2 linked regions of the Mytilus edulis genome follow. The protein of the gene in region 2 interacts with the protein of the main gene of each other region in a pairwise test. Links are inferred from orthologs where the notes say so. Each region holds a gene or a part of one and is shown on either strand. Other genes may lie near its edges.

What was found.
Region 1: the proteins of syntaxin-16-like (region 2) and alpha-soluble NSF attachment protein-like interact in a two-hybrid assay, tested with the Drosophila melanogaster proteins (2 studies listed by BioGRID). The link is inferred for Mytilus edulis from reciprocal best matches to the Drosophila melanogaster genes Syx16 and alphaSnap.

Annotation. Positions count from the first base shown.
Region 1 is NC_092346.1:22,460,596-22,477,756, forward strand, and holds the start of alpha-soluble NSF attachment protein-like, read right to left. Parts: upstream 9,065-17,161; 5' UTR 8,960-9,064; coding exon 8,868-8,959; intron 3,481-8,867; coding exon 3,401-3,480; intron 1-3,400. UniProt on the Drosophila melanogaster protein: Required for vesicular transport between the endoplasmic reticulum and the Golgi apparatus. Also between the endosome and phagosome.
Region 2 is NC_092348.1:66,999,251-67,016,594, reverse strand, and holds the start of syntaxin-16-like, read right to left. Parts: upstream 7,415-17,344; 5' UTR 7,291-7,414; coding exon 7,210-7,290; intron 5,574-7,209; coding exon 5,479-5,573; intron 4,425-5,478; coding exon 4,372-4,424; intron 3,637-4,371; coding exon 3,530-3,636; intron 2,833-3,529; coding exon 2,670-2,832; intron 1,180-2,669; coding exon 1,070-1,179; intron 1-1,069. Other genes in the region: vesicle-associated membrane protein-associated protein A-like, read right to left, coding at 14,193-14,372, 16,598-16,693, 16,953-17,021.

The sequences.
Region 1 (17,161 bases), on a different chromosome or scaffold from region 2:
TATACATAATTTAAAAGGAGCGTAAAGGAGGTAAAAAAAAAACAACATTGTATGTTAAATGTTTTTGAGTTACCTCCCTTACACTGCTTTTTTGACCAGAAAAAAACAAGTTTTTCCCCTTTTTTGCCCCTAATTCCAAAACATTTTGAGCCATAACCCCCACCCCCAGTCAAAAATTTCCATCACTTCATGTTATGGAAACTTGTGGTATAATTTCAGAGAGATTCATACACTTAAACACAAATTATTGTTTGAAAACTACAAAAATTCTTATTTTTGGCCCCTTTTTTAGCCCCTTATTCCTAAACTATTAGAACCATAACTCCCAAAATCAATCGATCCCAACCTTCCTTTAGATGTATTGAACCTTTTGGTAAAAACTATTGTGCGGTTATGCAGTTGTAAACTTGAATTCTACTGGCTGCCTTGCCATCTGCTAAATAACCATGTTACACAACCCAGTCAAATTGTCCTAATAGAAGAAACCTCCTTACAAAACATGTGCCTGTAGCCAATCAGAAATCTTGTTGTAATATGTTGACCTTTAACCTATAACTATTGACTTGAAATCATGTGTGCTATAAAAAGAACAAAGTAAGGTACACGCTGTCTTGTGATAACCTTCGTGTATTTATGTGAAATTTCCACTGGTTGACATCTATACATGCATGACGCAATCAATGGCTTTATCAATGTAGAGAAATTCAAATAACATATATTTATTACACATCTCTGTATTGTATTATACAAACTTAACAGTAATAACAGATTTAAAAAAAATGTTTTTCGACCATTAAAAATATAAATAAGAAAAAAAATATAAGATGGAATGAAACAAAGTGGAATGCTCCCGATTACATTAAACCAAACGGTAAATAAAAATATGTTCAAAAACTATCAGAACTGTTCTTCTTCTAAAAATGAAGTCATTCTTTTCTATAAACAATAGTTACGGAACAGTTGTTGAAAACTTGTGGACAAAGTGTAGTACGATTTATGTTTACAGCAGTTTCAGTAAAATCGTTAAACAGCTCATTTAGATTAACACCTTGCAATGATTCATTAAATGACTGTGTGCTGTTTCCTTGTTGGGTTGTACTTTAATGTTTTGGCTTAAACGTATTGCATGGCAAAGGTCCATTAAATGGCAACGGCGGCGCTTTGTGTTCCTTAGCAGATGTATACAGTCTTTTGTCCAACGTTATAAGTAACAGAACTACGTTCTGTGCTCATAAGTGTGGTGCTGGCTGTTGTAATATTCGGTAGAGGAAGAAATGTAGAAAGAGCAATTGCTAAAGTTTTAGGAGGCACTGTACAACTTGAGCTTGGTAAAGCAAGAATATTTGATGATGTTTCACCAGCAGTTAAAGCTAATGCTTAGATTGTTCAGTGATGCTTTCTGTTAATGTCTGTCCCATACGTATCTTATCATCATTATCAACCCGCTGATACAAAGAAAGGGATGCTACTAACTTATGTCCAGTTACGGCCATGATCTGTGCATTGCAAATGTGTTTTTAGCTAGAACAGTAGCCCCGGTAACACGTATTGAATTGTTAGTGTAAATTTCAGACAAGTTGCACTTCTTGCTCAGGTATGACATGAAATTGCCAAGCGTTTTTTTCGCCCACAGGAACAGTCTGCGCCAAAAACTTTTTCATCTACTAGTACGGAAACTAAATATCAAAACTTGTCCCTATATGACTATATAAAATTTTGAAAATTTTCACTAGTCCGAATAAATATTTACTAGTCTGGGGCATCTGACTAGTGGCTAACGGTGCAGACTGCAGGAATGGTATAATACCATGAAAGGTCCTCTTCCCAAAACTGATCTTTTGGTCTCTGCCATAGTTTGTCACACTCTAGATTTAATTTATTTACATACTTTTCAAAGGAAGACACGGGGCAATACTCAGAACCGGAATTTTCTGGCATTATCCCTGAAGTTTTTTCTTTGTCACTGCTGCGATGGTTTTTTGTCAACTCATCTAAAGTTTTAGCAACATATTTAAGCCCCGTTTTCTGATTTTTTTTACAGAAAACGTGGATTTTGTCATTTGTGGCATATTTTCCATTCCCCTTTGACAAAAATCTGAACTTTATTTTGAAGTCCAAATGGAGTATTTGGTGATAAATATATTGAGGTATACATTTTTCTTCTGTCAGGTTCGTCAATACACGGATAATGATCGACGTCTCCTAATCCCATGCGTTTAAGTTCTGCCATTGCCACTTTAAAATTTTCTCTGGAAGTGCAATTTTTTTATTGTACGGTGGAGCCTTTAAATATCTATTCAATGAGTATCTCAAGCATTGCAGTGAATTTGTTTTATAACGATTTCCATCTGCTTTACGGACATCCATATAAAAATGATCCAACACTTCATCTAGTTTTAAGGTGTCAAACTGTTCAAATCCAGGATCCATTTTCTTTACTTTTAAATACTCCCTGAAAATAGTGGCTGCTGCTATATTCTGCTTTATTGTTTTGTCAGCACTCATTTTCACACTTTTTTGTTCAATTTCTTCATCACTAGTATCAACAAATCGTCTTTTACCAGACTCCATCTTTAGTTGGCATAAAAACACATGAACTATGCACTACATGGAAAATCAATAGATCATCAGGTTACACAATACACATTAAGAGTGAGGTCAGTGGGCGGAGTTAACATGCTACTATTGCGTAGTGAAATCTAGGACACTTGTGTATTAAACGTTTCATTAATTATATACCTAATACGGTTAGCATAACCGCACAAAAATGTTATCATGCTTTGACCCAACTAGCATGATTATTTAGACGGAGATTTGGTAGAAATCCAGGATAGTTTAAGAAAGTTATTAAAATTTAAGTTTAGAGTGAATATTTCAAACATTATTTTTGAATTGCCTCCCTTACACTGCTTTAAAATTATGAAGTGTACTTAAGCAATTGTCCATTAACAAGGAAACCCTTGTTTTTTCCCGTTTTTTGCCCCGAATTGCTAACAGGTTGGGCCATAACCCCCAAAGCTAATTCTTACTATCTCTTTGAGGTAATGGAAACTTGTGGTATAATTTCAGAGCGATCATTAGACATTACACCTTTTCAAAAGTAATTGTCTGGAAACTAGAAAAATGCTTATTTTGGCCCCTTATTCCTAAACTGTTGGGATCATAACCCCCAAAATCAAACCCAACCTCCCTTTTGTGGTCATAAACCTGGTGTTTAAATTTCATAGATTTTTATTTACTTACACTTACAATGCAAGTTATTGTCCGGAAACCAAATGTCTTTGGACGACAATGATGTGAAACCAATATACGACCACAAAATGTTTTCCTGTCTGTATAAGAACTGTTATAGCTCAAAGTAAGGTCTTCAAAATGTGTTTTATATGTGTATTTTACTTACCTGCCCACTTTTTACTCATTTTAAATGAATTTGCTGCTCTCACATAAAGCTCACAAGCTTCTTCTGTTTTGCTAGATGAGCTAGATAAAAGAAACATAAGGTATCCTTGGTTAATCACAGACTTGGGGTAATTGTAATTGTAATCGTTAATCAGCTGTAATTGATTACAATTTTTCAAGTAATCAGTGTAATCATTAATCAGCCAAAAATCTGATTACATGTAATTTAATTTAATCAATTACTTTTCAAAATACCCTGTAATCATGATTACTTTTTGATTACATTCTGATTACAATGAAAAAAATCTAAAATTGTGTTTTTGGTCATTAAATGAACCTCTTTGTTATTCATATTTGATAAATTTTAAACATGATAAAAATGGTTTGGTTACTTTAAACATGTCTACTTCAGTAAAAAAATAAACTGTTACAGTATTGAAAAGTCACCATTAGCTTTAGCAGAGACATATAATACAATTATTTACCTTCAATCTTGGTAAGAGATATTGTACATACAGGTTTATTCATTGTTTTATAATGATCTTCATATTAATATTTGATAATAACTGTTATATATTCAAGTAATACTTTACTTTAACCCTGAATTATAATCTTTTGTTAATTTTTGTCAACTTTGAATTGACAGGTAGGAGACTAATTAAGGTTTGTTTTTATTACAATTACCAATTGAGTATAGCTGTAGGGAAATATATATGATAAAAGATAAATCCGGCGTTTTGCATTTGCGCCGATCTGCATTTCATTTGCGCCGATTTTTTCTTTCATTTGCGCCGATTTTTGTTTTCATTTGCCCCGATTTTTTTACAGGTAAATTACAGGTTAATTACAGGTGAATAGATATAAGAAGATGTGGTATGAGTGCAAATGAGACAACTCTCCATCCAAGTCATGTTTTTTTTATATTTATCATTATAGACCTCTTCCGTCATCCAGTTGTACACTATATTTACATACTTTAAAATCAAGAAGTAAAAACCTTAGATAAAAACACTCTGGTTTATACTAAAATGACTTTTTAAAATCTATTTACAGCATTCAAATCCATAAAAACGGAAGACATTAAAATCATAAATCTGTTCTTGCTGAGTATTTATAGGCAACATATCTAATATGTTCCTTTCATGTGATTTCGTCTCTTCTATATTTGTTGTAATTGTCAATAACGTAATCCATCTTTTCTTTGTCTTGCTAACGTACTTATGTGTGTGGCCGTCGATGGTTAAAAAAATTGACTCCTCGGCTTGTTGCAGTGTGCAATATGTCCATCAATTACAGCAAAGTTCAGAACAATATGAATCAAAATTAACTAAAACCTATGTTTATAAACAGATTTTACCAATATACCTGCACGGTACATGTTCAAGTATTAACTTACCTGTAAATCCAATTAGGAGCAAATATAAAATCGGCGCAAATGAAAAAATGAAATCGGCGCAAATGAAAGAATGAAAATTTTAAAAATCGGCGCAAATGTCATACTCCTGATAAATCAGACAGGAAAATTTATCTAATTAGCACAAACTAAATTAAAAGTTGGACAAATATGTTGTTTAAATTTTTTTGTATTTGGCCTGGCCATGTAAAATGTAATCATTTTTAGCATGTTTAGTACTAACATAGTGCATGTAGTGTTTACAATTTAATTAAACATTTCTATTAAAATTTAACATAGTTTTAACTGGTAACTTTATTTAATCCATATTTAAACTTCCATAAACTGCAACATGGAATACATATAAATTATGAAAGAGGTCAGAAGACAAACAAAAAAACTATTGATTATGATATATCTTTATTAAATTTAATTCAAAATAATTCAGAGATCATTGGTGATAAAGTGTAATGTATATATATGTAGTGAAATTTGGTGTTTATTTAAATAGATGAAGTTTAATTTGAAGTTATCATTTTATAATTGAACCAAAATGAAATACTTCCTCAAAAATGCTATAGTTATATTGAACGTTTATACATTCACATCATTCAAAATGTTTTGTTTTTAAATTCATTGTAATCAGATGTAATCATGATTACTTTGCTAATGTAATCATTAATTTAATCAGATACTTTCAGAAATGATGTAATCATTAATTTAATTTAATCATACAAATGACGAAGTAATTGTAATTTAATCAATTACATTGAAAGTAATCGGACCCAATTCTAGTTAATCATGTTAATTAGTTTATCTTGTTCTTGGTAATGCAGTAAAATCTAATTTTTATACTGACAGGATTGATTATTAATTGCTGCTTACGTGTCAGCAACAAAGGAGCTAGATGAGGGCTAGTTTTGGCCTAAAATTCAAAGTACATCTGATGAAAGAATTTTAACATTGTTTAAACACTAAAGTGTCTACTTCAGTCGATTGATTAGTCTTTTTAAAAGATTTGAACTAATTTGATCATTAGAGACCTTTAAATTCATGTTTAGAACTTCTATCAAATATGCCATACAACATCACTTTTCAGATGCTTTTTGACTAAATAGTAAGTGGCTGTATTATCACCAAATACAACCTACCAGGTTATTTAAATATCAAGACTGAGCAGTCAAATGCGGCCATTTCCATTCTAGACAAAAACTTTCTTAATATTAGCACAAATGCTAAAATTGTGAAAATTTCAGTAATTTTCCATGCCTTTATGATGCTAGTTAGTACATGTACCTGATGCCAAAAGAGGTCTTACTAGCCATAATACTCATAAAAAATATTAGGACAGAGGTTAATGTGATATGAATAAAAATTGAATATGAACATTCTTGTAGTAAAAAGAAAGGCATATACATTGTACATGTATAAAAAGAGTGGGATATTGATACCATAACTATTACTAATGCTAAAGTCACTGATAGATTCAAATTTTTTAATTGAAAGTGTGACTGTACCATCAGAAACATATAACATACAGCTTGGTGTTTAACATGTGAATTCATGTATTTTAAGTTCAAAAGGCCAAATAAAGTACGAAGTTGAAGACCATTGAGGACCAAAATTCCTAAAAGTTGTACCAAATACAGCTAAGGTAATCCATTCCTGAGGTAGAAAAGCCTTATTTTTTCAAAAATTCAAAATTTGTAAACAGTTGATTTACATGATTTATAAATATGACTATATATATCAATGATAATTTATGTCAGCACAGAAGTGCTGACTACTGGCTGACCCTTGGGGAATTAAAATTCCACCAGCAATGGCATTGACCCAGTGCCCGGCCGTGGTTGTAAACAAATTCATCATAGATACCAGGATTAAATTTTGTATATATGTTAGACATGTGTTTCGTCTACAAAAGACTTGTCAGGGACACTAGAATCCAAAAAAGTTACATTGTAAAAGGGCCAAATAAAGTAAAAGTGACGCCACCAAATCTGATCTTGTTCTGAGTTTTGAGGTAATTAGTATTGTGTTTAAGGCTCATAACATTTGGTTGAGGGAAACTAAAGTGATGGAACTGTAACGAAAAACTTCAGATAAGGACACAGATATGTTTATATAACAATATTCAGCCTTTTTATTTCTGTAAGTGTTAATGACTTGACCCTGTAGGGTGTTTATTGACATGTAGCAATATGATTGCATAGAAATTCAATTTTACAGTTCACTTAAACACTGCCATAAATGCATTTTTTTTAAAAGTTTGGATTATTGAATGAATCAATACAATATGTACATGGAAATTAACAAGGTAAAAAATGTATCTAAAATGTTAAAATTTGTATTCTGTCTACATCTGACATGCTACGTACATGTATACATAGAAATAGTGGAGAAAAGAATGAAATTGAATTTTGAATCTTCTAGAAATAACTCTCAATGATTCATCTGTATAAAATGTATATATTAATCTATAATACTATGGAACTTCAACATGTCTTTACTACTTTGTGTTGAAATACGCTTTAAAAATCATATTGTCCAGTATTACCCGTTTCTGGGAGTTTTGCCCAGCTGGGAAAACCCAGGAATTCCCACCTGGGTTTTCATGGGCGGGTTATACTTTTCCAACCCTGATCACAATACTCAGAAAAAGCCTGTTCCAGTTTTAAATTGTTCATGGAAAAAAAGATTTGGCCTTATTTTTGTTCTGCAGGATGGAATTAGGTTTTAGAGTGTGTGCATGTTTCAGGATTAACTGAGGGGATGAATTAGTAGGTCCGTTTTTGTGATTGCAATGGGATTTTATAAAACATGACCAGACGTGCTTCTGTTCTAATGATGTGCTAAAAACTGCAACCCTGTGTTGAACATGGCTGTCAGCCTGTATGTGGCTTTCTACAGGGTGACAAACAGACAAAATGTACTCTCTTTTTAAAATTTGGTGCGTTTTTTTTAATATTCAAAATTATAAGCCCAAAAGTGTTTTAGAATGATCACCAGGCCTTCAGCTTTCATTTGATGCCCAAAATACCTAAATATCCTACATATTTTAAGTTACACTCATGAGTAGGAATTCGAACTACATTGTATTTTGTGTTAAATATATGTACTACTTTCTGGTATGTGCTTTCTGACGGGGCCTGAATTAGTGGTGTTATACCTATAGTGGGTCTCATTGGGGTCTAAGCATGACACAGGATTTCCGATTTTTTTGTAAGTGGGACACGTGAAAGTCAAATTATTGTGTCGTGAAAACAGGAAATGAGGTCTAGCGGGATACAGGAATCTGACAAAACAGTAAGCGGGATCCGGGATCAACCCCCCAATGAGATTTGGTACGAGTTTGTAGTGGTATAAGTACATGTATCTACCAAGGGGGTCTCAATAAGGGGTTCCGATCCCGGATCCCGCTTACTGTTTTGTCAGATTTCCGTATTCTGCTTACACTATGTACATAAGCAGTTCTCATTTTTTTGTCATTTCCCGGGTCCCGCAAGACCTCATTTCCCGTTTTCACCACATAATAATTTGACTTTCATGTGTCATGCTTACAAAAAATCGAAAAATCCTGTGTCATGCTTATACCCTAATATGACCCACTACCAAGATACGAGTACAAGTTGTTACAAATTTTATAAAATTGAGAATGAAAATAGGAATGTGTAAGGCCCCTCATGGGGGGGTCCTAGTAATCACATAATCACCATTTTTTTGCCAATATAATCACATAATCATTAAATATTTGCTTATCTTTAGTAATCAAATAATCATAAACTAAAAATACAGTCCTAGGTAATCAAATAATCATGAAATATTTGGCTTAATAATCAAATAATCATTAAAAAAACGGCCAAGTAATCACATAATCAAAAACCCCATGAGGGCCCTCATGTGTCAAAGAGACAACAGTCCGACCATAGAGCAGACAAGTACACTATATGCCTTGTAGCAACTGTCTACTAATAACGAAACAGTTCTTTTCTTATCTCTTGAATACAAATAACACTTTTTCGGGATAAAAAATTATCATAATTTAAGCTCCCATTATGAATTACACGCCATTTACCCAAACAATGATCCCAAAAATCCTTGAGCAGACTTCTCTTTCTTCTCGGCCTCACCAACTAACTGACGAGCTTTTTGCTCATTATCTGCCATGATTTTATTTATATTATTTACGTGTATTGGTTAGTGAGTCACACCACTATTTACGTTTTGCATCACAAATTCTCTTGTTCAACAAAACGCTTCATAATGGAAAGGTTTACGACAAATCGTACCTTTGCAAACTCGGTCCTAAATTAAACTGACTCGTACCAAGGATTTGTATAGTCTTACAATACAAATCCTTGCTCAGAAGAGGCTCTTACCCATTGCCATTATCTTTAAGAATTTTTATCATGATTGTGTTTCGTGTGTTTATCATGATTGTGTTTCGATTGTGTTTATTATGTTAAAATTGAACATTAATTGTTACATCTAGTGATCATTCAAGATATTCCGGCAAAATTGATCAATACAGAGACATGTATTTATATGTCTCTGATCAATACTGTAAAAATGTCAAATATTAAATAATATTGAAAATTGTATGCAATTTTGTAAAATTCAAATACAAGTTTTCAAATTTTATTTTATTACATATTTCAAGTGTGGACACAAATCAATGTGGAAAGTATGTTTGGATGTTTGAGATCAGGGGTGGGGTACCAACTATCCTTTCGGGTATAACTGTGCCGACAGCACTTGCCAAATCATACCCTGTTCTAACCAGAAAACATAAAACATACCCTGTTCTAAACAGAATTATTGAAAAACATACCCTGTTCTAGACCGTATAGAATAGATGCTGTTCTAAACAGTTGAATAAGCTATACTGTACTAGAAAAATACTTTGTTTAAACAAAGACCCGGTTTTCACCAGCAGGGCATGAAAAAGCGACCCTGTTCTAACCAGCAGGACGTGAAAAAGAAAAATATAGGAAGTACTACCCCCCCCCCCCCCCCCCGGGGGGGGGGGGGGGGGTAGTTTTTTCTGACATAAAGATTTCTCTGGTTTTCTCCTATAGTGTTCTATGTTAAACTGAGGTGCACTTTACATGTGGTGCACAGTGACAGAAAAACTGTATTAAACACTAAAATAGCAGTGTCGTTTATTTCTGCTCAAGACTGCCATGGAGGAGACACTAATTTAAATCAGTACCAACCGTTCATAGATTTAATAGTGTTTTCTTACATTAAGTGATCTCTGGTTTCCTCCTATAGTGTTCTACGTTTAACTGTGGTGCACAGTGACAGCAATAGTGTACCAAACACTAAAATAGCAGTGTCTTTCATTCAATGTTCAAGACTGTCATGGAGTAGACACTAATTTAAAGCAGTGCCAACCATTCATAGATTTTATTTAGTTAGACCGTGATTTTGATATCAAATCTACATATTCGCCAACATGCTTTGAGTGCTTTGTGAATATTGATGTACGTTCCTGTCATTTAACTTTGTGCATGTGCAACGTTGCATTCAATGCAGGATGTTACCTTTTAACATTTTAACTTTGAAAAAACTTCTTTTCTAATTAATTTCAATCCTATATAGCTGAGTGTGCTCATCCCTGGAAAGATTTACTTGAAGAAGCAGAAGGTTGCAAATATTTCCGAATGATTCCGCTAAAATGTGTTCCACAATTTTTGATTTTGGATAAAAGCAAAAACTCAAATAAGAGGATAATCACATAAGGTGCCTTTCTGCATAATGTGATTCTAATATGCGAGATGTTATCAAGGACTTGCAAGCATGTAGTATTTGCATAGTTCCATTTATGTTCCTTTGAGATGCTAATTTTTAATTTGGGTTGGCCCACTTAAAATTGTTTAGTTGTTAATGATCTTCATGGTATCGTTAGTAAAAGATTTTCGCAATTGTTTTTATAAAGTCTAAGTATTAACAATAATATACGAATTATGTCAGATACCAATACATATGCCCCAAACTCCTACAAACTGATAAAAAAAGTCTTTTAGATATGATCAGGACTACTTCAACAATTCATTTTGCTGACAGTTGTGACCATCTTACAGCAGATCATGTGCAATTGCGAGTTGTGTGTCAAATTTTAATTTCACAAATAATGCATTTGCAAATAGCAATTTAATAAAACACTTATACGAAAAGCTTAATCCAGTGATATATTTTGTTATAGAGGCCTCAGTATCATGAACATTTACCAATCATAACCACCTATATAACGTTAGATCTGTAAATTTGCTTTCGCAAATATTTGGTTCTTCCCTCGCAGGGCCGTAACTAGCCTCTTTTAATAGTGAGGCAAAATTTTGGGTGAGTGGTCAGCGGCCCCAGAAGCTCTGAGAAAAATAACGCAAAATCGTGCATTCTGAGCGTTTCCCAGACTCTTTCTTGCATTAAAACGGCTTAATTAATTTTTAGATATTTTTTTCGACAATCAGGTCCCAAAGCAAAAACAAAGATTCGTTGTAATTTAAGACTTTTAGGTATTAGAGACAACATTAAAAGACCGATATGTAGGATAAAGCAAAAATCGTAATTCTCATAATTATCAATACCGTATCTGTCTGTCTGTTCTTGTCTTGTATTGTGATTAGACTTTGGTGATTTTTTCAGTATGACTAGATTTAAATATAGTGACATTGCAGTATTATACGTTAAGTACTAGTACTGCTTAAGTCCAAAATAGGGACCATCTTCACCTTGTTTTACGATCTTTTACGGTATTAATGATTCTTCAAAAGTATTGTTGAAGACCATCCGGCAACTATCAAGATGAAGAGCAGGAACACAAACTTTGACCATTGATCATTTGTCACTATTTTTTCTATGCATTGACTTTGTGTGCGATTATATCCCCATACTCCTTTATTATCTGTTAAAGGGTCTCAACACGACTTAATGCAAGTTTAACCTTTCAACTTGATGTAAAAGGTCATATATGGCAATACCTTGTTTTTTTTCCTTCAAAATATTTGATACCGGGAAATATGTGTCCTTACTTTAATTCAAACCATGTCAGCTATCTAGTTTTATTTACAATAAAACAAACTGTATTCTTTGATATCAATTTCAATTATCCATGCAGAAAGGACAATTTTGTTTGTGTCCACTGAGTAGCATCGTATGTTCTTAAAATATATTTCTCGCACAATTCTGGACATCGGTGGACATGCAACATTGCAAAACCACGTTTACAAATGAATATCAACGCTCAGACTATAGTCATAAAGTAGGACAATAAATGAACAAAAGACAAACCCGGAACACAGAAGTACAAACAATAAACCATCAACTCCGAAAACTAAAAGGAAAATAGAAACATGGATAACGAAAAAAAAATCCAGGGTATACACCAGAGAGTGAAGAGAAATTGTTTCTTGCGAGAAACTTTCCGTGAAAACAATTTAATATGAAAACAACCTTTTGTTTAATTTTTTTTTTTGAAATTTTTTACATGAGGCATTTGCCTCATTTGCCTCAATGTAGTTACGGCCCTGCCTCGCCGGGATTCGAACCCATGCTACTGTGATATCGTGACACCAAATCGCCTACACTGCAGCCGTCCCGCTAGACCACACGACCACCTGGGCTCTACAATAATAGAGCTTTCGCTGGCCGTGTGTTACCTTTCCTCGTCAGTTTTAATCTAGCGGCGTACTACAGTACATGAGATATAAGGCATGAAGATGTTATTGTTACAGATCAGCTAAATTATCAACGGACGAGTACCGCATAAAAAGGACACCTAACGGAAGCGTACCGGATAAAACGGATGAACAAGATCTACGGAAAAATCAAAGGCGACAATAATAATACATGTAAATCGCATAAATATTCAAAATGTTTCTGTGTAACTGGTTTTGGTTTGTTCTTCAAAATTCCGTCAAAGGGCAGTGTCTGGCCTGAATAAGAACTGCTTGATTGTTAAGACGTGCCTATACTCTATAATCGATTATGAATTCACGAACCTTAAGAAATCTGACATACCAATAATTGGCATTTCTCACGCTAAATTTTCAATTGGCATTTATCCATTTCAAATCCGTTCATCATCCGTTTTATCCGTTATACGTCCGGTAGAAGTTCGTTTCTCATCCGTTCAACATCCGTTTTATCCGTTAAACGTCTGGTAGAAGTCCGTTGGTGAATGTATCTTCCACACCTCCAACGGATGTATAACGGACACGTAACGAATACAAAACGGAAACGAAACGGACGAGTACCGTACAAAACGGACGCCCAACGGACGTTCAACGGACATTTTATCCTCATGAACATTTATTGAACATGCTCAAAATTTTCCACCGGACAGAACGGACGTCGACGGATAAAACGTACGCTTAACGGACATGCAACGGATATGGACGGACATCTAACGGATAAGAACGGACATGAACGGATTGAAAAAAAGTTATCCGTTAGGCGTCCGTTCGAGCTATCCGGCAAGGTGTGACCGAGGCTTTAACGTTAGGGTGCAATCTACAGTTTTGTTCTATGACGTCATACTTTGTTTCAGGGTACGATCTCCTGCTTTGAAAAGAGCTACAGTGGCTGCCGAATGGAAAAACTTAATGGTCAAACGTTTCTATTATATTGTAAGATGCCCGGATGTGCAATGGCGTAGCTGCTTGAAAACTGCTCCGCAAAAGAAGTGTGTATCTAACCTGTTATGATCGGAATTCTTCCGGAAAAAAAAGGTACAATATATTCATTTGAATTTGAAGAAGCTTTTGGCGAGAAATATTTATCTTAAACTGTGCCAATTTAATAATTTTATTTTGAAACGATATTGCTGTTCAAAATGATTTGAAGCGTTTCCAACGAGTAACGTCATAATAACAACCCTGATTATTCCGTAACGTTTTCCTATTGTGTGTGTTACGTTCTACAATTGTTTAAGAAAATGGCGTCCAGCAACAAAAACAATAAAAGTCAAACATGAAAAAAATTCAAAGCACAGATAATAACAAAACTGTTCAACATCAAAATATATCAAGAGACTACACTTTAAATAAATCAAAGGCCTTGATCAAGAAACTAGATGCAACAAGATCAGAACATTTAAGTTTTAAATTGACCGGTGGTGGCCTTAGGCTGTTTTTTAGCACGTCTAGTTTTGAAGTGTTTAAACGTGCATGCACATACTATTATGAACATCTGAATACAAATGGAGGAGATAACAGAGAAATCGCATTTATTCCAATCAGCGATAAGAATAATAAAAATGCCGTTGAAGAACAAATTAAAGTTTCCGAAAAAGGTTTTGATTCGTTGGGAAGATCTATCAAGCGTAAATCTTATTGTATTAATATATATTTCACAACATCTTCTGTACTTATTAATGGAAAAGGACTGAACATATTTTGTGAAACAGATCTTCCGGTCATTGTAGTAAAAATGAAGGAATGTCAAATAAACGGGAAAGATATAAATTTAAATGAGCTAAACAAAATTTTCGAAGAGGTGATTTTTAATGGAGAAACAAGGAAAAGAAGATTGCAATAACAACTCTGTTATAGATGTAAATAAAACAGAACATTTAAACCCCGGTACCATTCAAATATCAAATCCTAATAACAACACAATAAAATCAATAAAAGAGGATGTATCGTCAAATACAAATCGGGAACAGTCAACTTCGTCAGTAGCTATACCTATAATAGATATTCCAGATGATATACAAGCACAAGTGAAAGATATAAATCTGACTAATTCAGAGGATGAAAGTACATGTTTAGATGGAAATGGTAACACATTACCACAGTTGAATATTCGAGACTTTGTTACAACACTAGACAAACTAACTACTGTTGTTACAAATTTGAAAGACAAAGTTGACGAATTGGAAATATCTATACAAGCAAATAATTTGTCAAATGCGAGTAGCATTCAAATTTTAAATGACCGAATGACAGCTTTAACAAAGGTGCGCATGCAACATGACCAACAATCAATGAATAAGATGCAAGACATTGAAGCAGAAATTCAAAATGTTAATAAAAATTTGGAAAAAAAAGTTAACATGTTACAAGGAAAAACACAAAGCATCAGTGATAAAATAAAACTGTATGAAGTGGAAACAATTAAATTACAAAAAAGCTTTATGCCGGAGGAAAATCTCGGTAACCAATGTACCCCAATGTTAGATGAAGATCAAACAATTCCAAAAACAATATGTGAAACAATATTACAAGAACATTCACATGAAATAGAACAGTCAATAAATGCTGATATAAATGAAGAACCACAAAATCCTGTTTATGATACCCAACCAAAACTGCCATTATCAGGAAGTAGGGTTTTAATTGCCGGAAGTTCAGTCCTAAAAGGAATTGACCCATCTAAATTAAAAGATTATATAGATGTCCATGTTCACAGAGGAGCAAATGTACTAGATTTATACGAAGACATAAGAAATATGGATCTGAGTACATACAATACAATTATAATTCATGTAGGTGGCAATGATGCAAGTAGCAAAATGAATGTACAACAATTTGTGGACATTTTTCAAGAAATCATTAACTTTGTAAGATGTCAAAACTGTCGAGCAATTGTATCTGGAATATTACCAAGGATACAATGTGATGTCACTGAGTATAACACAATCCTAAAACAAATGTGCCATTATAATGATGTCAAATTCATATCAAATTATGAATCTTTTGTCTACAAAGATGATCATATAGCTAAATCATTTTACACCACAGATGGCATTCATCTAAATAGATATGGAACAATAAAGTTGTTGGCAAATGTTAATAAAGTAATTAAAGTATTCAAGGGAAAACAAATACAGCATCATTTGAACCAACAAAACATAAATAGATATCAAAGTTCCAGTCACCAATATTACGCAAACAACTTCAGAAGGAGCCCTACAAAACAAAGATATCAACCTAGGAGCAACATGATTACAACAGACAGAAGAAATTTCAACCATTCAGGAATCAACCCCAGAAACGTAAAGGACAGGAATGATCTCAATATGAACTCTCGTGACTCGTGGGAAAACAATAATGAGCTAAATAGACAAAATGTAGACAGAGCACCATTTTTTAACTATCATTCACCAAACTCTGTACGTAAGTCAGATTATGTTCATAGGTAGCATTTAGCTTGTTCTAGTTTTTCAAACAGATATAATATTTTAAATCTGTTATGTGATAAATGTAGTAGTATACAATGTTCATGTAATATAAAAAACATTAATAATATAAACAACAGTAATAATAATAATTGGAGAAAATCTCAAAAGAGACATAGAAAGAGTCAAAATAAAACACCTAGTTCTGTAAATAAAAGTAGAAATAATGAAGCAAGTTGGTTGTTTAAAAAAGGGTTTAAACTAGGTTGTTTAAATATTCAACATTTACAACCAAAAATTGAAGAAATAAAATTTCTATTAAAATATGAACAATTATTTGATATATTTGGTATGGTAGAAACATTTTTAAATGATGAAATTGGTACCGAAACATTACAAATTGAAGGTTACAAAATAGAAAGAAAAGATAGAAAAGCTATTAATTATGGCGGAGGTGTGATTGCGTACATACGAAATAGTGTATGTCATCAGAGAAGAATCGATTTAGAAATAAGTAGTATTGAATCTTTATGGATTGAAATTAAATTTCCAAACACAAACTCTATTTTAATAGGCATTTTTTATCGTCCACCGAGTTCATTTCAATCTTGGATTGATTCAGCGGAAAAAGAAATAGATAAAGCGTCTGCAGAAAATAAAGAAATTATACTCTTAGGAGATTTTAATATAAACTTTTCACATATAAATCATACAGTTGTCGGAAATCAAAAATGGAAGGACTGTATTAATTTGTATGGTTTACAACAAATTGTACATAAACCGACACGAGTAACAGATAAATGTGCAACTACCATAGACCATATATATACGACCGATGTAGACCATATTATAGAAGTAAAGGTGCCTAGTTATGCTGTCAGTGATCATTATCCTGTTTGCGTAACAAGAAAACTTAACCCCAAAATAACAAAAATGGAGCATTTGTCCATAGAATATAGATCATTCAAACAATTTGATAAAAATAAATTTATTGAAAATTTAACAAATATTCCTTTTTATCTCATTGAATCGATTGGAGATGTTGATGAAGCAGCTAATTATTGGTATAATTTATTTCTGAGCACCCTAGACAAACATGCTCCTAAGAAAATTAAAAGGGTGAAAAATACCCAACAACCAGAGTGGTGGACTTCTGATATAAATAGCGCTAGACACCAAAGAGATTATTTTCAAAGAATTGGTGATATATATAATTATAAAATTTGGCGTAATAAGGTTACATTTTT
Region 2 (17,344 bases):
ATGTGCTAATTTTCAACCTTTTTCAGCTGGACCTAATCACTACTTTCCTTTAAAATTCTGGACCCAAATTGTTTTACAGTGTAATTTCACCCCCCTACTTGCAATTTGAGGCATTAAACATGGAGAAATAAATTTGGAAGGGGTATAAAAATTAATGGCAAGTAACCCACTGTCAACACTAGGGACTATATTCGTGAACAACGAAAATCAAGGGACGACAATTGTGGTCTCGGACCATCATGTGTATGATTTCTTTCGCTAGTGAAACTGTTCTGTAAGTGTGAATGAAATGTTTAACCTGGACATAATGTAATGAGCATTTTACTGGAGCTATAAGTATTTAAGATTGTTTTTAAAATTTTTAATATTCATCTTTTGTACATGCCGTAAATGTATATTGTACTTCTTAGTTCAAATGAAACTATATTTGCATGTGTTGTAAATTCTGATTGATTGAATAAGTAGTGTGACCAGTAATATAGACATCATTAGCCATTTTTTAAACAATATTATTCAAAGTGCATAAAGGGAAGTCAGCAAACATTACAAGCTCCTACCGACAAAAGCCTCTTGGACTTCTATCTATAAAAAGGAAGATTTAAGTATTAAATGCCGCAGGTTATACATGAAGTGATTCATTGGCAAGCTTATAAAGCAAGAAAACCGTATCATTTCATAAACTAATTCTTTTTATGCCCCACCTACGATAGTAGAGGGGCATTATGTTTTCTGGTCTGTGCCTCCGTTCGTCCGTCCGGTTAAAGTTTTTGGTTGAGTTAGTTTTTGATGAAGCTGAAGTCCAATCAACTTGAAACTTAATACACATGTTCCCCATGATATGATCTTTCTAATTTTAATGCCAAATTATAGTTTTGACCCCAATTTCATGGTCCACTGAACATAGAAAATGATAGTGCAAAGTTCAGGTTAAAGTTTTTGGTCAAGGTAGTTTTTGATGAAGTTATTTATTTATAAAATAAGATTTTTATTACGCCTTTGTTATTTTGCATCTATAGAAATCATCAAACACAACTCTAAATGATGAACAAAGATAGCTTCTCTCCATTACCTTGTCAAATACATCTTCAAAAGGTTCTATTTCCTCCATAAATGACCCTGAGCTTGGACCTATATTTGTATCAAAAAATTCTCTAGATCTTTCTTCTCTACTTTTTATTTCTGAAATGAAAAATGAAGAAATTGTTCACTTTTGAATAAATATAGAAAAATACAGTTTTGTCCAATTAGAACTATTTCTTACTTGTGACACTCAGAGCTGTCTGCAGTTGATGTAAATACTTTCATTCATTGATATCCATTTATATTTAAATTCATGATTTAAAAAATCTTCAAACATTGAAATTATATGTGATTAATAATGAATCCATATTCCACATTTTATCTTGATTTAGCTAATAGATTGATTTTTCTACCTTTTATCAAAAAGACAAAAGTCAAAATGAAAAACAGCAATAAAAGCAATGCTTGTCTGATTAGAACATTACTAGTATTGAATATTTCAATTGTGCACAGGTTAGGTTTTCATATTCCAATGTTTAAGGTACGGTGGATCCGGACTATTTGACGGCACATAATTTCATGCAAGAATTTCAATACACACGAAAAGTATGTGTCGTAAATTCGATAATATTTTCTAAAATATTTTGATTGATTAGAAATATTAACTCATTGTAGTTATGTCCTTCAAAAAATATTATCATTATTATGTGTATCTGTGAAAGGCTCAAAATGACATTTCACCCAATTTCACCATTTTCCCGCCTAAATTTGGATTTTAAAGCAAAATATTTTTTTTTTATTGATGACTTATGTTTTTATTTGCTCACTGTTTGAAGCTATATTTCAGCTTTTTATATAAGAGTTTTGGACCAAGTGTCATAGAAATTTTTTGATATTCCGATAAAAATATGTCAACACCTCTATATTCCCTACCATTTCATTGAAAAACGATCCCTTTTACACACCTGTTTAAAAGTAAAATTTTGAGCTTAAATGGTCAGTGACCCCATATTTTTTTTCTACCACTTTGTTTCACTTTCTGTAAAGAATAAAATAAACACAAATACGGCACTTCTGATAGAAACTTCATATATGCCCGAGCCACCTTAAGATGCCAAATTTACTGAGTTTATTCTATTACAAATGTACAGTTTCTTGGTTTGACTAAAACTGACTCATTAATTAAGTTACAAGTAAGGAACTGTAAATGTGTAATACTGTATGAAATAACCAGATGAAGATCTGTATCAGTCAACAAGAAGCTCCGACTTTTAGAAGCGAAGAAAAACTTAAAGGTTTCAGTGAAAATGTTTTTATGTAACAATAAAATCAAAGTTATAGGACAAGTTTACATGACTTTGTCATATTACTATTTATACAATTGTGTTCTTGACTATTTTAGGGATGTTCCATAAAAATATACATGGAACCCAGGGAAGGCACTTCCAAATCTGAACAATGGTAGGGTGTCATCTATCTTTTTGTATAGCGGATATGCAAGTGAAATTGTAAGTTGACTCTATAGGTGGTTTCCTTTTTAAAAGTGCCTTCACTGGGTATCATGTATGTTTTAATGGAACAATCCTTGGTCATCAGTGTCAGTATCAAAGAATTTCTAGTCTACCCTATCAAAAGATGAAACAACTTACTTCTGAGGTAATCTGATTGTGTTTTTCTAAAATTTAATGACATATCTTGTAGTGATCTGGCCACAGATGATACTATATTTTTGGCTAGTCTTTTTTCCTGCTCTGTCCCATGGTTTCCTTTGTGACTTATTCTCTGAACTGTTATTTGACATCTGGTAAACATCTGCAAGAAAACTAATTGTTTACTCTTGATTCAAAATTATTCGTTCGATATAAATTTTCATGGATTTCTATGGTAAAGATAAACAATGAATTCAACTGAACAACATTAAATATATTTCCCTGTATGCAGACTTTAGCAAAATCATGGAATCAAATATTCCTAATCAAAGAAAATTACTACCAATGAAAAATAAGTGAATTCACAGTATGAAATATTTTGAATGTTACTAATAAAATTGTGCTATTTGGATGATTGAATTGTGTACTCTTTGCTAGGGCAGAGTTTATTATTGTTTTGCATACAATTGTGTTTTGACTATCTACTTCAGCAATATAATTCATCAAATGTTTTCTATGTCCTGATTTTTCTATATACCTTTTGATATTCAAATGATTGAGATTAAACATCTGAAACAAGTATATGTGCCTCCCTATGTCAGGAACATTGTCAGTGGTGCTCCTTAGTTGTATTCTAATTTTTGTCATTCAGAGACTTCAGTGTGGACAGTAGTTTTTAATGGTTTCTGTTAAATTTACAAACACAATTGAGTATGCGATAGGCATATAGAGCTTTACAATGGTCTATTCTTGAAGTATATTTATAGACTACTTCATGTCTTCTTGGTTTTTTTTGTGTCATTGGGTTGCTGTCTGTTTGGGTTATATCTCAAATCATCTCCCTTAACATGAAAACAAACCTGTGTAATATCTTGTGTCATTATTTCTATAGCATGTTCCTCCTGCACATTATCATCTAACGTTGGTCTGTTTAAATGTCTGTCATGGAGTGTTGCAAGTTCCTTCACTAAAAAATCAAAAATATGCAGTTTTATGTTAAAGGTCCAATTGTTTAACCCGACAAAACCAGTCAATAACATTAAGTTCAAGTTAACAATTCCTTCCAGCTAACAATGATTCTGCATACTGTAAATTTCTAAAATTATTATAAAATTTATTAAAATAGCTATTTTGGCCTGACCAACCAAAATTTGGGATATATTATTTGGAAATCTCTATCATATTATCCAAACTGTGAAACCTAAGTGTTTGTAAGCACTGAATGGTGAAGATTGCTACAATTTATAAGTGGAAAGTAAAATTCAATAATTTAATTGCATTTTATAAACCATTAAACAAAGGAAGATAACTCTTATTCTTAAAGATGACATCATTGATATTTATAGAATAGATATTAATTAGATTCATGTACCTTGCAAAAGTTATCTAATTTTGACAAGTATAACATAATTTTTTAACTGAATATCTGAGTATATATTTTATTGATACATTTCTGGTAATGTTCACGGATAGGATGTTAAGAATGTTATGATCAATGCACCATATTGTGTGGATCTCAAAGGTAGTGATAAAACTTTGAAGATTTAGATATCAAGTCAGTACCATAGGGTTTTGATAGCATTTCATGCAATCTTTACCCAAAAAGTTAACTAATGAGAAATGGGTACATTTGCATTTTCAATGGTTGCAATAATTACATCTACATATGTAAATTGAAATCTGAAAAAATCTGTATACTTACTTTTAGTTTTGATTTTTGTCATTTCATATTGTACCTCTTCTACTCCATCTACCCTGTCAAAATAATTTGTAAAATGTATTTATTATGCTATGTAAGAGGGTATGAATGCCTTTTACTGTCAGGTGGAAATGGTCATTTTCGGCTACTACTAGTGTCAAATTGGTTAAACTTTTACTGTGATGCTTCAGAAACAGAGGTCTCAAATAATTATCATTACCATTATTTTTGGAAAAAAAATAAACATGATTTATCAAAATCAGTCAATTTTTTTTATTGTCTACAGAAAGTGTACATTTTCATGACAGTTTTCAGTATCTGTTGATTTCTTTGCTTGATATTACTAATTGTGCACTAATGATAAACATCAAGTTTTTGTCTGCTTCAAGGCCATCTTGTCACAACTCTGTCAACATATCATGTCTATGTAGGATTCCAAAATTAAAATTAAAAAAAAAATTGTTCATTGTTATTTTTGGTTTTTGTTACTTGAAATAGGAAGTGGAATAAAAAGTATTTTATATTTATTTGTTTATTGCCTCTATTTTTATTTTTTGTAACAATATGGACTATTTTATAATGTTTAAGGGCTATGGTGTTTGTGATGAAAGTATCATGTGTTCTTTACCTGCTTACTATATTTGAAAAAGTCTAATTAATACAACTGCCTGGAATATGCATTAAAGCTTAAAAATGTACCAATTAACAAACCATTTGGTTATTGAAAGTAAAACACTTTGTTCCTGCAGTTTGTCTTGATCTTATACTTTTGAGGTACATTTAGTGTTTACTAAACAGTCAGGGATAATACTTGTACAAGTCATTTTTATTTGCTTTAAGATGTAAGAAGCATAACCTTGTATAAGTCAATATAATCTTTGAATTTTTGTTTTTAAAGTTTGAATTATCTCCCCTGAAAGTAAATTATTCAAGGGAATATTTTTTTCGACCAAATTTTGGTCTACAACCGGATGTAATGTACCATGATTTGGTTGGTGGTATTACACCTATTAAGATGTATACATGAAAAAAATATCTAAAAATAAACTATAGACCCTAATTTTTTCTGTGTGTCACAAGAAAAAAAAATATATCGTTAGTCGTACTTACCATTCTGGAGGCAGTCTTGATGATTTTGTATTAATACTGCCCATTTCCATATCAGAAGCTGCATTTGAAACAAGTGCCATCCGGTCATCATTAACCTAAAATTAAATGTTTTGGATGTCAGAACATGCACATTAATCATTGTGATTTTTAATTAACAAGTTTTTATTTTTTATTTTGTAGGTTTGCATGGCTGTTCTTATCCCATTTTTATGTTGCCATCATGATCAAGACCCAATAAAGAATTTCAGAGAGGTTATAATAATAATAAAAAAAACAAAAACAATAGGCAACAGTTTTTATTTGTGTGGTGATGAATTTTAAGTAACTAATTGCAAGGCTGTTCAGTATGGTGCAGTCAGTCAGTTCCTCCAATATCCAGTGATTTTGCGCATGCCTTCCAAACAAAGATTATTTTGAATAAAGGAAAGATTTTCTGCTACGAAATATGCCTGAATTTGAACCAAACACACTGCCAAGCATGCAGAGCAAAAATTATTTCAATCTGATATAGATTTGTCTTAAATAAAACACATTTTATCTGATGTCAGATGTAATTTTTCTTAATGGGAATTGGCCAAATATTGTAAATCATGGGATTGCAGTAATATTTTAACTCTTGAACTTATCAATTTTATTCTTTTTATACCTTCGGAATACTAAAACAATAACAAGAACAATTTTATTTGTGTTGCTGTGGTAATATGACGAAATCAGCTAATGCACGGTATCACCGGTTGGCGGACACCGGGGATTCCACTGTACATGTAAGGCCAAATAAAAATATATGTATGGTTCCAGTTACATACTTTTAAAAAATAGGGTATTATATACGTCCCAACCGGAAGTCCACCATTTTTACATGTGTTTGGTTGTAAACTAAAACAGTCATGATATGTTTTTAGTTAATTTTGTTGCATTTAGTTATGAATTCTTGCATTTTAGCCATAACAGATACTTATGACAGAAATCTGAATTTAATTATTTTAATTCACAATCCTCAAAATTTGATCGTTTGAAAATTTATTTTTCAGAAATGAAAAAAAAAGTTCTAGGGTCGGTCGGGTTACTGGAACCACACATATATTTTTATTTGGCCTAAGTGTTTGTTGGTCTTGAAAGATATGCCTCTGTGTGTGTCGCTTTTTACTTTTGGATACTGTTTCAATTTCAAAAGATAAACAATATATTTAGGCTTTTCGTATGGTTATTGTAATAAGTTGTGTTTTGATAAGGGCAAAATACACTGATGTACAGACAGATTGAAAACTCATAGTTTAATGTAATTACTTCAATATTTACATTATTAAACCAGCTCCTCTTTTTTTGCTCTCAAAATGTAAATAATGCCGGCATAATGGCAAACAATCAAACCAGGATAATGGACAGACCCAAGGCAAACAGAAACGGGGGAGAGTGGGACTGTGGGCACCTATCCATCTTTGTATTTCCCCACTCAGTTACATCTTTTGATGTGCCATTGCAATACATTTGTAGTTGAGTCAGTTTATTTTCAATCTATGACTATGAGTTTGAATTTGAGTATGAGTTTATGGTATTTTTCGCACCTCTTTCACATCTTCTTATGTCTTATAACATACATTGCAATGCAGATCTTTTAAGTTTGAATATAATGAAAGTTTTTGTTGAAGAAAACAGACATACATGTACATGATGATGAAACGAAAATTAAAAGTATTATAGTTTGTTTTCTTAATTCTATTGATTTCTTACATGTTCAGAAAACATATGACGACTTTGTAAAGCATTGTTTCTCATCAAAATGAAAACCTCTGTTAAACTTCGTGTTGCCATTTTAATGTTTTCTCTTTGTGTTTTTCTCCTACAGAATATCTTCAAGAAAGCCGGCTACTGTCAAATTTTCAGGAAACTGTTTTCATCAAATCCATCATCCGCAGTAAATAAAAGTCTTGTTTGTTTCTCACATGGTTTACTCCGGTGCTCCGTAACACGTATTGGTCGACTTGTTTATCGAATTCAATTCTAAATATATGCAAGATCATGTAAAAGTGTATCTATTATATTATAATAATTATTTAATGTATCAATAAGAGTATTTAGAAAAAAATAAAAATAGTTTCTATTGTAATTGTATATCCCTCCTATGCAGGAACACCACATCAATGTTGCAATAAATATAATTGTGCATTTAAGGATGTCTGCTGCTCTAATTTAAAATAACAAGGATTTCATGTGGTTGCTTAAAATGAAAACAACTTTGATATTTAAACAAAATAAAGTAATAAAATCATTAGTATCGTGTGTAGTTTTCAAAATACGAGACATTTAGAAAATGGCGGGAAAAGGGTTTTCTTCAGACTTTACTATTTGTTAACATTGGAATTGTTTTTTACCCTTTAAACCAAGAAAAAATAACAAGGATTTCATGCCGCCGGATCACTAAATCTGAAATGATCTATTGAACAGATTTATGAAGACAAAAGGGGGGTGTCGTGTAAAATTTTTTTTAATACATTTGGATGGATAAAACCTGAGAAAATCGAAAATATGACAAGAATTCAAAAACATGACCAGCAGACATCCTTAAATATTAATTGCATGTGCTCAGGTAGTCATATTTTGTGTATTCTGATCCTCAATTTGTAAAAAAACAAATAATTTTGAATGCTGATTTTTCCAATGCCATAGTGCATGTTAAATTTTGAAAAAAATTGACAGCATTGAAAAACTAAAAAAAAAAAGGTTTGCACTTTCCAAGAAAGAAAAATCAAACTAAAGGCAAAAAAAATTACCCCCCCCCCCTCCTCACTTGAAGTTAAGTGGTTGTTCCCTTTGAATTATATATATACTGCATGGTAATGATTCACACACAGCTGCATAAACTGTACCATATTTAATCACTTACCTTTCATTTATAATTGAAGGCTATACAATCACCTGAAGGTATGTAGTTATTCATTCACTCTTTAATCTTACTTTTTTAATGGATTGGTTTTTTTTCATTGGTTATTTAACACATCCTATTTTGATGATGACTATATAAAAGGAGATGCACACACCAAGGAAAATATATTAAGTTTTATTTCATTGTGGAAAAAAAAGTAAGGTTTAAAGCTTGAACTATACAATTTTACTTATTTCAATGAAACAAACTTCTGTCTACAATAGTGAGGTTTAGCCAGCTATAAAACCAAATTTAATCCACAATTTTCTACTAAAGAAAATGCATGTACCAAGTCAGGAATATGACAGTTGTTGTCTATTTGTTTGATGTGTTTGAGCATTTGATTTTCCCATTTGATTAGGGACTTTCTGTTTTGAATTTTCTTTGGAGTTCATTTTTTGTGATTTTACTTTCCCTACTAATTATGAAACTTTTAAGATCTGACCTTGGCCCGTTTTTTGACTATTTGGACAGGTTGTTGCTTCTTTTGCCACATTCCAAATTTCCATTCTCAATCTTGATTTTTAAATCAAGGGACTTGAAGCAACTTTGCTTTTAATAAATTTTCTATGTTGTTTTATAATAATGTTTACACATTTATCTCATTTTTGAAATAATATAACAAAGAAATATCCAGGAAATGTTGCTAAAATACACTTTAATCATAATTTGACCCAAGTTGTTGTTGAGTTGAACTGTTAGATATATTAAGGTGGTTCATATGGTAATTCTATCCTCTGGAATATCTGAGGAACTTTATTCAATTTTTTTCACCACCAGCTGTTCATGTTGACTGAGAATAAACATTCATGGCTGTTAACGGGAGAACTATTAAGTTGTTCTGACTTCAGAATTTCTAGGTGTCGGATGTGAAATTTCATACAGATTTATCTCTACAAAAAGTAGCAATTTTACACATTTTTTTGTAGATGTGAATAATCAAAATATTTCTTTCAAACCAGTAGTGACACCATTCTTTTTATTTAGATGTGACAGTAATGTTGCCCAGTAGATTATTTTATTTCAGAAAATAAACTAAGGCTTTCTTTGAAATCATTTTTGTAATGTGTTATGTAATGTGTTCTTTTGTTTTCATGAATGCCATTGGGGTATATTAGAAGTGCATTATTTTCAATATCGATCAAACCTAACAGTTGAAACAAAGTATGATTTATGAATCCAATACAATATTTGTTTGTTTTTTAAAACAAAAATCATGACTTTTTCCTCTTATGTGTCAGTGTTTAAGGCAATAAATATAAAATCACTATCATCATAAAAGTTTATTTTAACAAACTAAATGACTTGTACACTTTCATTTCAGGACTTACTCCATTCTATTCTTCAATGATGTCCCATGAAAGTAACAAATGGTTGAAGCAGTAGAAATGATGGTTGTGTAACATCAGTTAGAAATGTTTACATCTATAATGTTACATACTGAATATACAACTGATTACTTGTATTACATTCAAAGCAGGTAGTTAGCAGTGGCTTAGCACATAAATAAATTACATGATTTTACACCGAAAACCATTGAAGTATTCTCAATTGCAGATTAAATTGCACACACATATGACTGGAATAATTGGTCAGTTAAATTTTAACAAGCCATAATAAATTATTTTTAAATATCCCATTCCACCCTTGCTTAAAGTACTGGTCATTTTATAACCCAGCTTGGCTTTGTTATTTTGAAGTTTGCGCCTGTCAGTTCCAGGACATAGCACTTAAAAATGAGGAAACAAAGAATTATACTAGGTTGAACCCAGAGTCCAAGACTATCCAATACTAATATTGAAATATGATGTGAAAAATGAAAACTACATATAAACTAGTATAAAATATCAATCTTTTTTAATCAACAGGTAGATGTCATTCAGCAAATATATATCCTTTTGTTCATTTGTTCCTTTCCCTATATTAAGGTGGTACCTAACACTACAGGGAGATAACTCTGTAAAATCAGCAGAACGTTTTAATGACGTTGTGTTCATAAGGGAATATTAAGCTTCTCAATGATCAAAATAAGTGTTTGTCAAACTGTTATATAACCAGTGTAATTTTTCTGATTAAACGGTTGGTTCAAATTTTTTGAAATTTTTATATTTTTGTCAAAGGGTCAAAGTAAATACTTTGTCAAAATTTTAAGAAAATTAAACGAGCCAAATTAATTTTAGTTAAAGTGTTAGGTACCACCTTAAGTCTAATAAATTATTTATATCATTTTTTGTCTTGTAAACCTTTGTCTAATAACTTATACCTGTTCACTTCATTCACTTGTTTTTGTAAAAAAGTTAAAAGCTGTTTCGAAAAATTTGTGCATTTATATTTCTCTTAGTAATGGGGATCAGGTTTTTTTTTTTTTATGTTTTCAGTGATTTTGTTTTTAATTAACCAGATGGCAAAGTTGTAATGTAAGAAACAAATTTATCAAAACTTCTTAAATAGAAATTTGTGAAAAACATAATGGAAAGAATCCATACCTTCCAACTAAATGTTATTAATGTAAGTCTTCATTAGATATTTCTATTCTCTCCACAGTTGTCACATATAAAAATTGTACCAGTGTCAAAAAGGTCAGAGAAAAATAATCAAAAACATGAATCAAAGAGGATGCTACTCTTGTTCCACAAGTGGCAATCTTGTGTTACTCTTGTTAAATTCTGCTAGTAATACAATGAAGTTGGTGATAAAAGAAGATTGGTTGACGTCTAACCTAAAGAAACTACTAAATTTAAAACACAAAACAATCTTAACAAGAAAATTTGAAATTAAACATAAGACAAAGGACAGACAAGACCATGGCCATTAGAAACACTGAAAATCAAAATGATCACTTATTCATAACCCAAAATATATCTGGATTGAGTGACTTGCGCAAAAGCAGGGAGATAAGAGAATTTTAACCAATGAAGAAGCACAAGTTAAGACAAAACCAGATGTTGATTATGTTTACAAAGGTTTGAGAAAGAATAAATCAACTAAGAACTAGAGTAAGGTGCCTTCAATGTAATTTTCATTGTATAAAAGAACATCTATAAAATATATACATCACTCATTTAATAATTCAAGTCAGGAGTTGTCAATGCACAGTTACTGTTAAATATTTTTTTCCCACTTTCAATAGACTATTTTCATATTACCAACTTTTAACTCAGACTTTATAATTTTTCAATAGGTACCCCGGTAACTATTTCTGTGGTAAGACCTCCTGGTACTTGGTCAAGTAAGGGCCACCAATAAAGTAAAATTAAACATATAATGGGTGAAATTGAGGGAAAAGTTTACTGTTTTCAGTTGTGTTTGTTGTGCAAAGAAAATATAAAGCAATTCACCCAAACATTTGTATAGATTGAAAGCTTGATTATACATGTACTTCTTTAAGTTGCATTTACTGGACTTGGTACCAGGACGACCTACCACAGAGTAGAGTAGGTATAGCCTGTCAAAAAATATCAATTGGAGTCAAAAGTCAGTATTATAAAAAAAAAAGTCAACAAATATCAACCTAGAAAATTATTATGTTAAGTTTATAGATCAGAAAGTCTTTCTAATAAATTATAGTTATGAAAATTTATAAAGTTATATAATAAGTGTTATATGATGAACTTACATCACTGGTAACCTAGAAAGCTTGTAAAAGTATTCGAAAGAAAAAGCTTTAATTTACACATGTAATAATTCCAACCAAGAGAAAACATTATTCAATTTCATAAGACAGTTATGCATTGGGTAACAGGAAAATCATGAAAATAGAAGATATTGTATTTAATAACATCTTATCTAATAAATTATAAATATTATACATCAAACTGACACATGTTCTAGTATATTTAAGAAAGAAAAACTTGCATATTAAGTATCAACCAATACGTTACAAAACTTCTCTCCAAATTTCTTCTTTTCAATACAATATCAAAAGCTGTGATATGGTTGTGATGAGACATATGTACAAGGGGACTTTATATTACTTTCTTACATCTGAAAATCCCTATATTTTGGCATCATTATCACAACCACTGTTTATGATTTCAAGTTTTAAATGTCAGAAAGCAGAAATGTATCGCATAATTGTACAACATTTTATTGTTCCGTACTTTAAGGGTGTGAAAGTATAAATTTGTTTTCTTTTCATTTGGTGTCTTTCTTAAATAAAACAAAAAGAAATTATGAACCTTCAACTAGACTTCATAGAATCTAGTTTAAATAAGGCAAAACTTAAGAAAAGAAGTTAATTAAATTAACAGTCTAAACAAACAAAAAGAATAACAATGGAAAAAGTAAACATTTTCATAAAAAAAACTAAAACAAAACAAAATAAGACCATGGAAAACAAAACAGTGCATCAACTTAAATTTTGGTCTAAAAAATGAAATATACAACATTTGTACAAAGGCCTAAAAATGCACATGTGCATATGATCATCATTAAGTTTTCTTTCAAATATAGTCGTATAGTTCCTATAGACATTTCAGAGAATTTCAGAAAATTTTATGGGTTTTGTGCAAAACCAGATTTGATCTGAATTAAAATATTATGTAATTCAAAGCTAGCACCTTTATAGAATTTTTCGATAGAATATGTATAAAACTATTCCAGGAACTATATATGCTTTATCAATACTTCTTTTAATAACAAAACTCCCAAAACATATGTGTTAAATGATAATACACCTTTCATATAATACACAAGTATGAACACATCTAATACACAATATAGTATTCTATCAATTTGATGAAAGTACATACAAGTATGAAATTATATCATTCAATAATGAATTATAACATGCATTACTTCTGATATTAAGAATGATTTAAGCATTCATTTATTGTTTAATGTTAGAAATATAATAAATACAATAAACTGCTTGTATTAGTCTCTTTTTTTGCATGCAGATAACATTTTTTTTGGATGTTAAGCACATAATGTAGAACAAGTGCCTCAGCAATTTCAATTTAATTGACAAGAATTTATCATTTTAATATTTTAATATTGCTCATCTTCTATATGAGTTTTAAATATTCTAATTAGTTGCTGTCATTAGCTATATCCAGTATCTTAACAACAACAAAATCTTATTTCACAAGGTGATTACAGAATCCCTACTATCATTTATCATTTCAATATCACTCACGACATATTCCTTAAAAGTGCTTGCTTTATAAATATGAAGTGCTATATGTCAACATCTTGTATATCACATTTACCTATCTTTCAATTTTGTTGGAAAACTGAACCAAATTTTGAATTAAAAAAATATGTGTTATTCACAAAAAAGGACAATTAATAATTCAAATATATTAATAAAACTTTAAAGAGCCTGTGTCGCTCACCTAGGTCTATTTTTAGCCATATTGATTAGCATGCAAAGTCATTGGTCACATTTCAGAACGATACCCTTATGAAGTTTGGCTAAATTTGGCCCAGTAGTTTCAGAGGAGAAGTTGGACAACGATGACAGACTCCAAGTGATGAGAAAAGCTTAATTGGCTCTTTGGGTAAGGTGAGCTAAAAATGTATAAATAACTAAGAAGCAAAAAATTAGGACAAAAATTCCAACCTTTTTATAGACGAGGTACTTTGAAGCTAAATAAGTCCTTAACCGACCGCTATAGTAATGAATAAGCTTCCTAATATGGTCTTGTTCGAATCAAACTCACTATTACACCAAATTACTTATCTTAAATTTAAACAGTGACAGTTACAAATTAAAATGTCTATTTTTTTAAAAGTTATTAAATTCCAGTCTTATATAGTCACTTTGTTGCATTCACATGTTCAGTTATAGTTATAACAGCATTTTTCCAAGAATAACTCCTATAATTAGTGCAGCAATAATAATAGCTATATTAGGGAACGCTGTTATCTGACTCATTAAATCCTGTTTAGTTTCTGGTGTAGGTGTGTATGATGGTGTTGATGACACTGTTTCTTTAAGGGCTGTCTTTCTTAATCTTGCTTCACTGTCCTGAAAAAGAAAAATGTAATTTTATGAATTTGCATAAGTTTTTGCTGAAAGGTGATCAAAGGGTCAAATCCAGTTTTTTGGGATACTTAATGGAACAAAATGAATTCCCTGTCCAGCTAGATCATGTGAAAACAAGTGAAACTGCGAGCTACTGCTCACTGATGATACCCCCGCTGCAAGTGGATAATATTAATAGTGTAAAACTATGCAAGTGTTCGGTAAACAGGAAGTTGTCGAGTGATGAATCTGAAAAGGCATCACACGGTATAGCTGACTTATATAAATCCTGAAACCAAATTTCAGAAATCCTTGTATTGTAGTTCCTGAGAAAAATGTGACGAAAATTTTCAACTTGGCTATCATGTGTAAAATCATACAAGTGTTCGGTAAACAGTAAGTTGTCGAGTGATCAATCTGAAAACGCATCACACGGTATAGCTGACTTAGATAAACCCTGAAACCAAATTTCAGAAATCCTTGTATTGTAGTTCCTGAGAAAAATGCGACGAAAAATATTCATGGGACAGACGGAAGGACAGACAGAGGTAAAACAGTATACCCCCTTTTTTAAAGCGGGGGTATAATAAAAGTTCAAACATTGGAATATTGCCCTGTTAAAGCTAGGTAATTTTTGTTAATAATTTGGACCCGCGAACCCCCTTAAGTTGAGGCAAACTTAAGTAAAAGAAAGGAAACCAAAAATTCAGCTATTTTTCTAGATCTTGAATGGTGAAAGTGATGCCACCAATATTCAAAATAAATCTGTTTTGTGATACTGTGCTTAGTCGTCTGACACATTATGGTGGGGGCATAAAAAGCCTGTGAAGGTATTTTAAAAGAACACCTGAAACGATAATTTTGTTCAAAGAAAGATAACTCAATCGTAATTTTCCCTAGTTCTAAATTAATATTTCAAGATCTGTCTACATCCTTCTGACTTTATAACATACAAGTCTAATGTGATATGGTGCAAAGTTAAATTGTCTTGTGTGTGTGTGCGAGTATACTTTATTTTACCTTGCCCATTAAATTCAATGTTGACATTTTTAAACAATAGTTCAAGTAGCTGTTTAAAATATTGAATTGTAACTATGTAACTTTTCTCAAGCATATTTATTTTTATTGTTATATTTTCATATGTAAACAAATGCAAGTACAAATTTAACATGATTTGAAGCCAATGCTATAACTGCCTTAGTCCTTTCATGCTAATGTAAGCTCCTACCCAAGAAAGATTGAATTTTCTTATCATGCAAAAATTAATTTAATTAAGCCCTCAAAATCTTAGCTTAAACCCTGATTTTTTGCAGCAATACACAAATGGACTGATAGAGAAAGTTTTTTAAACTAACTACAAGCTTAAGAGGCACCTCCAAAAGTAGTTTCACAGATTTAAGACCAGTGATGCTGGTCAATTTTAAAACAACTTACAGTTGCATTAGCATCTCATTTTCCTCCTAAAATCCAAGTAGAAATGTACAGGGTGCAAATGAAAAGTGAAATATGCCCACAGAACAACAACAACAACAACAACAACAATACTTTATTTTAAGAGGGTTACACAGTTAGCTATATAACTAATCTTCCCTGAGGCCCTCGTAATGAAAAATCAAACAAAACACAAACATATACTAGTACATTGCATACATACATTAGCATAAAAAGTCAAGTGTGATAATAATGTTCAATACAACTTGATAAAATGTGATGAAAAAATAAACATGATGACATGATCAGTTTTTTATATTATTTATACAGTTAGGTTGATTTCAATAAATGATCTGCTATTTTGTATTTGAAAGAATTAATATTTGTAATATTTCTTAACCGTATTGGCAAATTATTCCACAAGTATGGTCCAGAATACATAAAAGATTTTTTGAATAATTCTGTTTTTGGTTTAGGGAGTATGAGGTTTCCTTGAACAGCATTTCAGACAGAACAAATACATGTAAAAAGGGCAAGCTTTTAAGTGTCTAGTAAAATTGGCATATCTATTAACTCCTATGGAAGTTAAACAATAGTTTAATGACTGCAGATGTTAACATTGTGTACACAAATCCATACTACCACAGAAAAAAGTTACTTGATATGAATATGATGATTCTGAACTTTCTTTTGGCAATGGTTTCGGGAAAAGATTCTGTTAGCATTACAATTAGACTAGGGCTAGGCCACTAGGTTTTCATTACAATACTACATTTCAATAATCACTCTATAAATACCTTTAATGATTTATTTTCATCCTGCAGTTTTTCTATTTCAGCTTGTAATCTTTGTTTATCTGATTCCCCTTTTCTTCCCTCTGATTCAGGACTTGACTAAAAAACAAAGGATAACTTTAGTCTATTACTTGTTTAATTTTTAACATATCTTTAATAAACAAAAAAAATTAGTAAATATCATAAATTTATTATCTATCGTTAACCCCTCTATAACAATAATGAAATAAGTCCTCAACGTTTTAAGCAGGCCCTTGCTAAAAATCATTTTTTTCAATCATGATCTAATAAGGGGAGATAACTCAACAACTGTATATATAAATATTCAATATGAGGAATAAATTATACAAATTGATACCTTTATTGTTTGTGAGGTTTCTAACTGTACTTGTTTCACTGGTTTTATCTTTTCTGTTTCTTCCCTCGTCTACAACAAATACATAAAGTTTAAAAAACTATAACTTTTTTTCTATTAGCAGAAAGCTATAATAAGATCTCTATGGAATTCTGAGATCTATTTATATCACTAAGGTAATAAATATTCATGTAATTCTTTATTGATTTGTAAAATTAATCAGGTTAGGAAAGATCTCTTCTTCATGAATGATTAATTAAAAAAGCCTATTAAGGTAATTACCTGAAGATTGATAACTGTATTGCAATAAAGTAGATCACCTTATTTCATGACATGAACGGTAGAAAAATTAGTCAATGGTACTACCAGTTATTTATTCCTTTTCAAAGTTGTTT